Callithrix jacchus: one gene and its partners. The protein of the gene in region 2 purifies or fractionates together with the protein of the main gene of each other region. This does not show direct contact. Links are inferred from orthologs where the notes say so. Each region holds a gene or a part of one and is shown on either strand. Other genes may lie near its edges. The genes, in order: SNX24, CSNK1D and FAM83H.

The links.
Region 1: the proteins of CSNK1D (region 2) and SNX24 purify together in Homo sapiens (affinity purification with mass spectrometry; 3 studies listed by BioGRID and IntAct, counting the BioPlex papers as one, with this or other methods). This does not show direct contact. The link is inferred for Callithrix jacchus from reciprocal best matches to the Homo sapiens genes CSNK1D and SNX24.
Region 3: the proteins of CSNK1D (region 2) and FAM83H purify together in Homo sapiens (co-immunoprecipitation; 5 studies listed by BioGRID and IntAct, counting the BioPlex papers as one, with this or other methods). This does not show direct contact. The link is inferred for Callithrix jacchus from reciprocal best matches to the Homo sapiens genes CSNK1D and FAM83H.

What each region holds. Positions count from the first base shown.
Region 1 is NC_133503.1:86,337,512-86,341,158, reverse strand, and holds part of SNX24 (sorting nexin-24), read left to right. Parts: intron 1-1,572; coding exon 1,573-1,667; intron 1,668-3,398; coding exon 3,399-3,431; intron 3,432-3,647. UniProt on the Homo sapiens protein: May be involved in several stages of intracellular trafficking.
Region 2 is NC_133506.1:137,905,695-137,909,441, forward strand, and holds the start of CSNK1D (casein kinase I), read right to left. Parts: upstream 2,743-3,747; 5' UTR 2,693-2,742; coding exon 2,617-2,692; intron 1,925-2,616; exon of another isoform or gene 1,788-1,924; intron 1-1,787. UniProt on the Homo sapiens protein: Essential serine/threonine-protein kinase that regulates diverse cellular growth and survival processes including Wnt signaling, DNA repair and circadian rhythms. It can phosphorylate a large number of proteins.
Region 3 is NC_133517.1:53,882,344-53,886,090, reverse strand, and holds the start of FAM83H (protein FAM83H), read right to left. Parts: upstream 2,811-3,747; 5' UTR 2,718-2,810; intron 421-2,717; 5' UTR 359-420; intron 165-358; exon of another isoform or gene 30-164; intron 1-29. UniProt on the Homo sapiens protein: May play a major role in the structural organization and calcification of developing enamel. May play a role in keratin cytoskeleton disassembly by recruiting CSNK1A1 to keratin filaments. Thereby, it may regulate epithelial cell migration.

The DNA of each region.
Region 1 (3,647 bases), on a different chromosome or scaffold from region 2:
AACTGAAATAGTAATGAAATTATGTCTCTGGACAGAAGGCCTTTTTCTCTTTATCTTCTGAACTTTTCATTTTTCTCTGGACTTGTAAGCTTTATTGTCATGTCCCAGTGTGTAATATATAGATGCCCAGTAAATTATTATTTAATTAATAAAATATAACACCCAATTTTTTTCTTCTGTCTTTTATTCCTTAAGCTTTCATGGGAACAGTGAGCTGTGTAAAGAACAGTAGCAGCCCCCAGTAGAGGTGGCTGTCTAGATCATCCCTCTCCAGGGACTGAACACTAAGAGGGCTGTGCTCTAGTGTGGGACAGAGGGCAACCTAGGAGGCCTGGCAGCCTGTATAGTCACCCACCCCATTTGTATGACCTGAACTGGGTAACGGTATTACATAACCTGATGAGAAATTGGGGCAACTCAGTATGTAAACCATGGCCAAAAACAAGATGTGATCTAGAACTATGTATCTACAAGGTACATATAATTTCACCTCACTTTTGTTGCTTGTTATGTGTCTTATGCATCACCTTACACAGTATTCCTGATTAGCTGTGTGAATGATGTTTCACCATCAATTCTCACAGTTCTTTAAACAATATATACTTATTGGACAAAATTTACCCATGGTAGTTATGAAAAATGACCCTTAAGAATAGTAGTATTGAACTCAGAGATTATTATACAATCTTTGATGCTTTTCTCCTATGGTCTTTTGGAAAAGTGGGAGGGGGTGGTGGCAAACGTACATTCAGTTCACACACTCTGGTAGACTTAAAAAGTGCATAGCTATGAAGATACATACTTCTTTGTCAGATTTCTCTTGACATTGCATAATCTGGATCTCTGAATACTGACATGGTTATGCCATTATGCCAGCTATGTAGCAAAGCTCACTAAATGGAAGAACTTTATAGATTTTTTTTCGGCGTGTATGCTGATTTACATTTAGCAGTAAAGTTGTTACTGACCCTTTAAGTGGAGCTGTCCAAATGGCAATAAATGTCAGTTGATTCTAATGCCAAAACAGGTGATAATTGAGGGTCTTGACTAAATCTTTCAGTTAAAAAATGATTTATCATATTTCCTAAATATTAGTGGTCTCCTGTAGGGAGACACACACACACACACATACACACACAAACGTGTATACATAATGTATATCAGATCACTTTATCACTCAGTAAGGAAAATTTGATATACATATCTTAATAGTATTATTGATATTCCCAGGTTTTGAAATACTCTAGATTAGAATCTCCATGAAGGCAGGAAGCATTTCTACCTGGCTCCCCACAGTCTTGTCCCCTAGACAGCATCTAGTGTATAGTAGGTGTTGAATAAATGCCCATTGAATGAAAGAACAAATAAACTGCAGCATTTGCCAGCACTGCCTAGCATGTGTGTCAGCTTGAATTTCTGGTGGGCAAAACAGAGACCACTCCTCATCTTGACTCTGAGGAATGTTGCTGGTAAGAACTTTGATGGACGGTTATGACTTTTTGAAATAGTTCATTTGATTGATCGCCTAGCAAACTTCACTTCAGTTTCTAATTCTGTTTTCTGCTTTCACAGGCTGTCATTTTAGAAAATGAAGAACTTCCCAAACTGTTTCTTGATTTCCTAAACGTGCGACACTTGCCCTCTCTACCAAAGGCAGAAAGTTATGGGTAAGAATCATGTTTGCATATTGGATGTGTATTTTAAATTACACTTCAATGACTGATTGGTCTAACAAATAGCCCAGAGTAGTGCCCGAGTAGCCAGCCGGCCACGCCCACTCTTTTGGCTTGCTACAATACTCGCTCGCCCCCTGCTTGTGATCAAAAGAATTCCTCTAAAGTCCTCATGCCCATCTTGTGGCCAGATGGCCATGGTTTAGTAACCCATGTTTAGACTCGGAATCAATCTTTTCAGTTACACTGTTACATAGAATGATGTTACTTGATGGGAATTATGAATCTAGATAACTTGTTATGGACTCATTTATTAGTGAAAACTCAAGCAAAGTCCATATCCTGGTAGTACACATATTCATATATAAATATATTTTTTTAGGGGATGGGGGGATGATGGAGTCTTGCTCTGTTGCCCAGGCTGGAGTGCAATGGCACTGTCTGGGCTCACTGCAACCTCTGCCTCCCGGGTTCAAGCAATTCTCCTGCCTTAGCCTCCTGAGTAGCTGGGATTACAGGTGCACACCACCATTCCCGGCTATTTTTTTTTTTTTTTTTTTTTTGTATTTTTAATAGAGATGGGGTTTCACCATGTTGGTCAGGCTGGTCTCAAACTCCTAACCTCGTGATCTGCCTGCCTCAGCCTCCCAAAGTGCTGGGATTACAGGCGTGAGCCACCGTACCCGGCCCATATTCATATAATTTTAAAGCTGTTAATGACCTCAGAGATGATTTGATCCAACTCCTCTCATTTTGTAGTTAAGCAAACAGAGACACAGGAATTTAGCGTCTTTCCCAAGATCTCTTGTCTTGTAGCTGACAGAACCCAGGCCTTCCAAGGTGAGCCCTCTTCCTCTGCTGTCCAGCTGCCTCTCTCAGGAATTTCCAGTGGCAGGACCACAGACTCTAATCCCTATCTACCAAGGACCCAGAGGTTTGATATCATCAGCAGTTGGGAAAAGCTCTCCTGAAGAATTAACTCTGAAGCAAGTCGCTTGCCCAGCTATAGGCACATGACATAGGCTGAGCTAGCTTCAGAAGGCCTTCAGGAACATCCGTGGCATACTATATCCGTTTACAGAGAAGGAAATCATTACAAACTCTCTGAAAATTCAAGCAAGAGGCAGATTTAACCATTTTCTCACTGTTTCCAGACCTGCCTGAAGGAAACACACTAATTACAAGAAGATCAAGCAGACCACACCCAAAGTCGTTAAACCCCAGCCGTCTGCTGGATGACAGGGCTGCAGACAGTTATCACAGCTCCTAATGGGCACTGTTTATCAGGGCCATTTCCACTTATTGCAGAGCAAAAATTGTACACTACACTTGGCAAATAATATGTTGTCAGTGTGTTCTGTTCCAACTCCTATGTGTTTATAGGGTGGTTAGGCTTCATATATGTTTATGTATTTTTCAGAACAGACATTAGCAATAGCAGTGAGTGAAATGTTTTCTCTATTATACAAGCCCAAAAGTAATAAAACCTGAGAATTTTTAAGTAATCTTCAGGAAAATTGAAATCAAAGAATATTTCAGTCTTCAGATTCCTTAGGACGGTGCATAGCCATGCTGTGGCTCAGTGGAAACTCACAACTCTTTTTAAAAATATTTCCCAATTCAGTGGTCTGATAACATTGGGTATTTTTTCCTTTGTTGGCATTAACATTGACTCAACATATGTGGTTTTTCTTTCTTTTTCCCCCCCTTTCTCAAAACTTTTAGATCTTTTGATGAAACAGAATCTGAAGAGTCAAGGTAAGGGCTATTCTTCATCAGCCAGGAATAAGATTATGATCTTGCTAAATGTTTGATCACCATGATGTGTTTCAAGTTTTGTTTTTCTTAAAAACCTCTGTTTGGAAATTGGTTTAAGATTATAAATATTTGATAGGGAATTACAGGAGTAACCAGTTAGAATTATGAGTGAAGGAATAAGAGCCCTACATTGTTTCATGCAAGTAATAAGAATGT
Region 2 (3,747 bases):
CTGCTGCTCTGCGCAGACCCACACTTCCTCCAGCCTGCCTTACTCCGGGTTACATGACCACTTCACTTTTCATTTCCTCAGGGGGGTCGTCTGAAAGGACTGAAATGTAGGCCAGGAGCCAATGCTGATGGAAAAAAAACAAATCAGCTGTGCCCAACCCCACTCAAGTAACTGGACATGTACCCTGATGGATGGTTGTCTGAAGGCTCCAACCCCAGGGCGCCAGAGCCACAGTCACCGGAAATCCCTACCCTAATGGTTTCCAGCGTGACTGCATGCCCAGCATGAGGTGAGGCCTGAGGGTGCAACCATGAGTGAGCAGACAGCCTGCCACCTTCCACCTTTGTGAACGACTTGGTAACAACCACACCAGAATTTGTCTGAATCTATCTTTGGAAAGCACAAAGTTGTTCTGACAAGGTCTCAGAGGAGTGCAGTGGTGTGACCTTGACTCACTGCAATCTGTACCTCTCAGGATGCCTTAGCCTCCTGAGTAGCTGGGATCACAGGTGACGGCCACCATACCCGGCTAATTTTTGTATTTTTAGTAGAGAAGGAGTTTTGCCATGTTAGCCAGGCTGGTATTAAACTACTGACCCCAAGTGATCCGCCAACCTTGGCCTCCCAAAGTGCTGGGATTACAGGTATGAGCCACTGCGCCCAGCCTAAAATACTTCTTTTTGATGCCTGCCTAAGAGTGGTTAATGGACTGGCTTTGCAGTGTAACTCAGACTGTGGAGTTAAAACTTTTGCCAAAATCTATCAATCTATAAATAAGCCAAATGCCTTCCATTTACCAAGCACTCTGACTTCCAAAACACTGCCAAGAACATATCCAGCTGACCACCTGGGTATAAATGTTTAGTCAACCCAAACATCTAAAGCGTGTTTTACTCACAGGCTGCTAAGGCATATATACAGGTTCAAAAGCAACAATATGGCATGTGACAGGGTTAACTGGTAGGTTAACCAGGCACCCAAAGTATGACCCACCCAAATGTATGGGTTCAGCCTAATGCTGTCAGCCCACTGGGTCCTGAGTCATCTCTCAGGTGAAAAGTGAGAAGGGTATGAGATGTAGGGACTGTTCACATGCGGATTAATCTAAAAAGTGCGACCAGAGGCATTACTGACATCCCATAGGATTCCGGACCCTGGCTGTGCCCCAGCCAAACACACCCCAGAGATGGGGCTGCTGGAACAGAGAATAGGTCCCCTCAAAGGTCTGCATCAGGCCTTCTGCAGGCACACTGCCCACGAGGCTACACATCCTCAAGTTCAGGGGGTCTTGGAATAACTCCTGTATTGCACAATCCCACTGACAAGTACGGAAAATTAAGTTACTTTAAAATTATGTACAAACTTGGGCTGGGCGTGGTGGCTCATGCCTGTAATCCCAGCACTTTGGGAGGCCAAGGGGTGGGAGGCGGGGAATCACCTGAGGTCGGGAGTTTGAGACCAGCCTAACTAACATACAGAAACCCTGTCTCTACTAAAAATAGAAAATTAGCCAGGCGTGGTGGCACGCGCCTGTAGTCCCAGCTACTCGGGAGGCTGAGGCAGGAGAATCGCTTGAACCCTGGAGGTGGAGGTTGCAGTGAACTGAGATCATGCCATTATACCTGGGCAACAAGAGCAAAATTCCATCTCAAAATAAATTTTTTTTACAAACTTGAAGATGTCAGCCAATCTTTCAATACACTTGTGCCCACATGCATATTCTTCTGTTGTAAATATGACAACCCAGAATGTTCTAATCCCATTTTTTTTTTTTTTTTGAAATCTACCTTGAGAATGTTAAAGGACAGCTCATGAGTACTACTACTTCATGGGCCTCTCATTTTGCCAGCATCTTAACCCTGTGGGACTTTCATTTGCACTCAGTCACCGCTCCAAGGCCTAGGGTCGCAGTGCAGAGAGAACCCCCAGCGGTCAGTCATGACGGCGGCCGCGAGGTGGAGGGCAAGCCCCGCTCCTAGCCAGGCCACTCCCCCAGCTCCACACGGCATTCGGGTCTTTCTGACATTATCCCCCACGCGTGCAAGACGCATGGGCAGCCTCTGACTGGGGAGCCAAACATCCTCGGACAGGGCTGCGAAAGAAAGAGCATGGCCTTTGTTTATCTCGGAGACCTCAGGCGCGGAGCAAGCCGACACTCGCCCGCGGCCCCGGCCCTGCCCCGCCCCCTCCCCCTCCCCTCCCACGGGCCGCGGCCCCCATCACGCCCTGCCCCTCCCCTGGGCCCGCCTCCCCACGCCCCACCCAGCCCTTCGCGGGTCCGCTCCCCGACGACCCTGCCCCTTCCCGACTCCGCACCCCCGAGACCGTGCCCCGCCCCGGGTCGGCTCCCCTGTCCCCTCTTTCCCACCCCTCCCCTCTCCAGACCCCGCTCCCCCACCCCCCGACCCTGCCCCTCCCCCAGGTCCACGCCCCACTGTCCTCCCCAACCCCGGCCGCGCTTGTCTAGTGGCCGTTGGGTTCTAGCGACGACCCGGCGGCGGCAGGGCTTGCGCGCGGACCCCGCGGGGGCCGCCACTTCCTTCCGCGGTCGCACTTGGTCTCGGTAGCCGCGGGGCCCGGGTCCTCAAACGGCGGGTGGGGACGGCGGGGCCTCACCAAGATAGATGTCTCCGAAGGAGCCGCTGCCAATCTTCCGACCCAGCCGGTACCTGTTCCCGACTCTCAGCTCCATGGCGGCGGCGGCCCGGTTCGATCCTGCCCTCCCGGCCGCTTCCTGGGTCTGAGCTCCGGGAGGCGGCGCCACTGCTGCCGCTACTGCGGCTCCGGCTGCCGGCTCCGCCCCCCTCACGGCCCCGCTTTCACCATCGCTTTCCCGTTGCCCCGTCGCTCCCAGCGCCTCAATACGGGGCGGATGGGACAGTCCAAGCGCCGCCGCCGCTGCTCCGGCCCCTGCCGGCGCCGCTTGCCCTCTCCCCGCCGCGGATGGACTCGGATCTTCGGGGCCTAAATCCCCTTTCAGCAGCCTGAAGGAGCCGCCGCCATCGCGCTGTGACGTCACTTCCCTTGGCAACCCCCTGGCGGGTGGGGCCGCAGTGCTCGAGGGGCGGGGGCGGGTGGGGCGAGCGCTCCCAGCCTCCTCGGACCCTGCACCGTCTCGCAGGGCCCCAGTCCCTCTGCCCGCCCATTATCCCAGGACCTCAGGCCGCCAGCCCCTTCCACGTGCAGGCTCCTACCGCTCTCACTGGGGCTTTTCGTGTGTCCCCCGAGATTTCGGGAGAGCCAGGTGAGTTCCTGGAGACAGGCGGTGCCCTTTGCAGGAGGGAACAGGTAGCTGAGGCCCGGCCCGGAGGACACAAGTGAGACCTTCTCACTTGGCTGCCAGTTCCCGGGCGTGGGGCATCTCAGGACGTCAGCGGCTTTGCCTCCTGACACCTGAGGCCAGAGACAGAGAGGCCCGCACCCTGGGAGGTCCTGATGTCCAGCCTGAAGGATGAGGACGAGGCTACCACCTTTCACAAAATGAGGACAGACCACCTGCCTCCCACCAGTCCCTGCGGCCTGGAGACCGAGTCAACATTCTTATCTGTGTTGGATCTGAATATTCCTCCTTGCAAAAGAAAACAAGGATGTGCACGTTCAGGCTGACGGTCAGCTTCAAAGATTGGGGCCTTTGATTCCCATCACTGGGAAGAAAGCCCTCCAGAGAAGCCCCCCCAGGCTGCGGCGCATGGGGACCATGAAGAACCAGTCCCCGTGGTCCCATGTCCACCTGTCTCAACCTGTCCC
Region 3 (3,747 bases), on a different chromosome or scaffold from region 2:
AAACATTAGGCAGGCATGGTGGCACGTGCCTGTAGTCTCGGCCACTTGGAAGCTGAGGCAGAAGGGTCGTTTGAGTCCAGGCGTTGCAGGCTGCCGTGAGCTATGATTGTGCCAATGCACTCTGCCTGGGCCACAGTGAGACTGCATCGCTACAAAAAATAAAACCAAACCCTCTAAAACTTTCATGATTCTTGGTTTAAAGACAAACGTAATCTGGGCTACGTTCATCATTACAATATTCGCTTTTTTTCTTAAGATGTTCATGAGCCCCTGGCACTGTGCCTACTGAACAAGTTGGTCTGCCCATGCTGCCTGTGTCTCTCTGACTGCCTGGGAGACCCCGAGTAAGTCACTGCACCTCTCTGGCCTGTACATCTTCTGCACAACACAGCTGAGGGTCCACATGACGCCATGCTTCACCTAAGATGAGCAAACAGGGCTGTGACCACCCTCCTCCAGGAACGCGGAGGTCCTCGTTAGTGGACCTCAGCCACACCTCCTCCCCATCCTCAGTTTCACAGTTGGGTTCCCACAGCCCATCCTCTGACCACCCAGCCCTGGAACTGACCCCTAGACCCTGTCCCTGTCTACCAGCCCCTCTCCTTCCCTTGGCCCACCCTTGACCTCTCTCTTGTCACTGTCCCTCTTAGATGAAACCTCCCTGGGCCACAGCCCATTGGTGCCCACAGGTCCTTCAGGGCCTGCACTCCACAGCCCCCAGATCTCGCTCTTTACTTGCTCAGAGTCCTGTCCCCACCAACCCCAGTCCAAAGCAGCAGGGACCTTTCCAGGTCTTGGGCTCCCCACCACCATCCACGCTTGCCTGCCCCACAGCCCACCCTGTTCTCCAAAGGGTCCCTGCAGGGGGCCTGGCCTCTCCAGAAAGGTGTCTGATGGGGACCTCTATAGGGTGCCCAGGGCCCATGTGCACATGGTCATGGAGCTACCTGGGTACCTCTCCCTGGAAGGAGAGCCCTAGGGAGCACTCAGCCCATCCCAGTGCTCCTCAGGTTGCTGAGGGAGGCAGCACACCTATCCCCACCTAGCACACAGGTTCCTGAATGTTGGCCCTGGCTGGGGAGGCAGTTCAGCCCAGACAGAGGAGCGTGCCCTGGGGCGTTGACAGGATGGGCGCTGGCCAGCTGGACTGCATGGGTGCTAGCAGGAGCCACTTGGCTGAGAATGTTAAGGTCAGGCGGCAGCCGTCCTGCCTGGCGCACCTGGGGGTGACATGGAGTTGACACGTGGGAAATACCTGGTGCCACTCAGTTATCCAGCCCCAGATGCCAACCGGCCTGGGAGAAGCTGTCCCAACATTTCTTTGTTGAGGCACTGTCCTCATGGTTGACATGTGGGGCTGGTTAGGGCACACTGTCTTGATTGTGCCAGGAGCAGATCAAGGCCGACCACATGGGGGTGAGGGGCAGGCCTGTCTGGCTGGGTGGGGGCGCCCACTCACCACTGCCAGCCTGGCTGTAGAGGCAGTGTCTGATCACACAGGGCTTGAGGGAACAGCCCTGCTGATCTTGAGGGGCACTTCCTGCTGCTGGGGGGGCAGCACTCTAGAAAGGACCCCCACTGTCCCTTTGGATTTCACAGGGTAGGGGAGTCAACAGTGTCCAGGCTGTGTGTAATGTGGGCAGGGACTGTCAGGACTGTGGAAGCCCCTGTGGCCAAAAGCCCTCCAGCAGACACCAGCGTCCACACAGAGTGATGCCAATGGCTTCCTCCAACGACTTCATTCCCCGTGTTGTCCCCTTTCATGGGTCCGTGTCTCCCCAGCTATGGACGGGGCCGCAGCCACTCCCGAGCCTGAGATGGAGCACTCCAGTGGCCTGCATGCCTACACATTTGTGTAGCAACGCCTGCCCAAGGGAGGGAGGGCACGGAACCCACCCATGGCCAATGACTCAGCACGAATCCACTCTTCTGCTGACCCCGATCTGTGACTTGAGGTCAGGGCTCTCAGCTGGACTTTAAGGACCCCATCCTCTCCACCCTGGCCGTAAGTGGGGTATCTGGAAGGAGGACCCCATGGAAGGATCCAGAGTTCCTACACCAAGTGGGGTGAGCCTGTGCCGTTCCAACGGGCACAGGAGGGCGTGGAGGCTCTAGGAGGCGGAAAGGTGGGGTGGGGAGGACGGAGCTCACAGACCGGAAGTCGCTCAGTGATAGTTTGCGGGGTGGGCACCCCAGCGCCCAACGTGGTCAGCGCACCCTACGCGTTCGCAACTGCGGCGGCTGGGGGCCCCATCCGCCCACCCCACCCCAGGAACGTGGGCACGAGAGGCAGCACTCCCGTCGCTCGTCCTGCTCTCCACGCGGGGATCCAGGCCGCACTCTGGCTACCCCACTCCACGGCGGCCGTCCCCAGGGACGGGTCCAGCCCGTGCCCAGCACCCAGACTCCAACTAGGCCGCGAGGGCGGGACCAGGCGGCCGGGCAGGCTGGACCCGGCCCCGGGCCCCTTCCTATCGGCTCTTCGCGGGCCGGCGTCGTGCGAGGGCGCTCGCGTCCAAATCCGCGCAGCGGCGCCCCCTGTCCGAGCCGCCCCCCGCCGCCCCGCGCACGCGGCCGCGCCCCAGCTCCAACGCCCCTCTCTGGATCGCGCGGCCCCGGCCCAGGTGCTGGCGCGAGGGCGGCCCAGGTGGGACCGCACCGAGGGGCGCCCGCCCCCACCTCGCCCCGCCCCTCCGGGCCGGGGGAGGGGGCCCTACCTGGCCAGGTGCGCGGGGTCTCGGCACAGGGGCAGCAGGAGCCGACCGCCGCCCAGCGGCCTCGCGGTCCGGTCGGTCCGGCAGCCACTCCCTGCGCGGCCCGCCCGCCGGCCCGGCCTGATTCACGCGCCCGCCCCCGCCCCGCCCGGCGCTCCTGCCTCCTGCCTGCCCGGGCAGCACCTGGGGGCGGGGCGGCCCCACCCGCGGCGCGCCCGCATTCCTGCGCCCCGGCCCGCGCCCCGACCGTCCGCCCCGACCCGCCCGCACCCTGCGGGGACCCCGGCCCAGCGCCGCCGGAGGCCGTGAGGCCCTCACTTCAAAGACCCCGGCCCCGGGGAGCCCAGCTGTTGACCCCAGGCTCAAAGTCCTAGGCTGACCCCTGACCCTCGCCCCGGAAGTCGGGGTGACGCGGAAGTTCCGGCTCGGTAGCTAGGAAACGAGCCAGCCCGACGCCAGGGGCGGAGCTCTGGCCTCCTGGCCAAGTTGGGGAGGCAGGTAAGGCAGGTGAGTACGCTGCGGCGGCGCCGAGCGCCGGGTGGGGCCGGGTCTGGGAGCCCCGAGAGCGCAGGGGATCCCTTCACCACACACCGGTCTCCTTCCGCACTGGCGCCCAGACGTAGAGGGGACGACCCCACCCACACAGAGGACCCCCAGGCCCCGGCTCCCCCACACACACTGATGCCCACAGCACCTGGGGTGCCCTATTGTTCTTCCTCATCCCCGTACACCGACGCCCACCCGTGTAGGGGACACTGCACACACTGACCCCCTGCACAGACGAACCCCAAATGACCTGTCCCTCATCCTTCATGTACACCGACCCCCCATGCACACGCGGGCCTGGAATGACCCGTTCCTCATGTACACCAACCGCACAAGCACAGAAGAATCCTCAGGAAGGCAGAACCCACAAGCACACTCAGTCTTGCACACCAGTCACCCAGGAACACGCTGACGTCTGCGCACGTGGAGAACCCCACCTGCAATTGGGATCCCTCAGACACTGACCCAGGGGATCAGGCAAACAGGG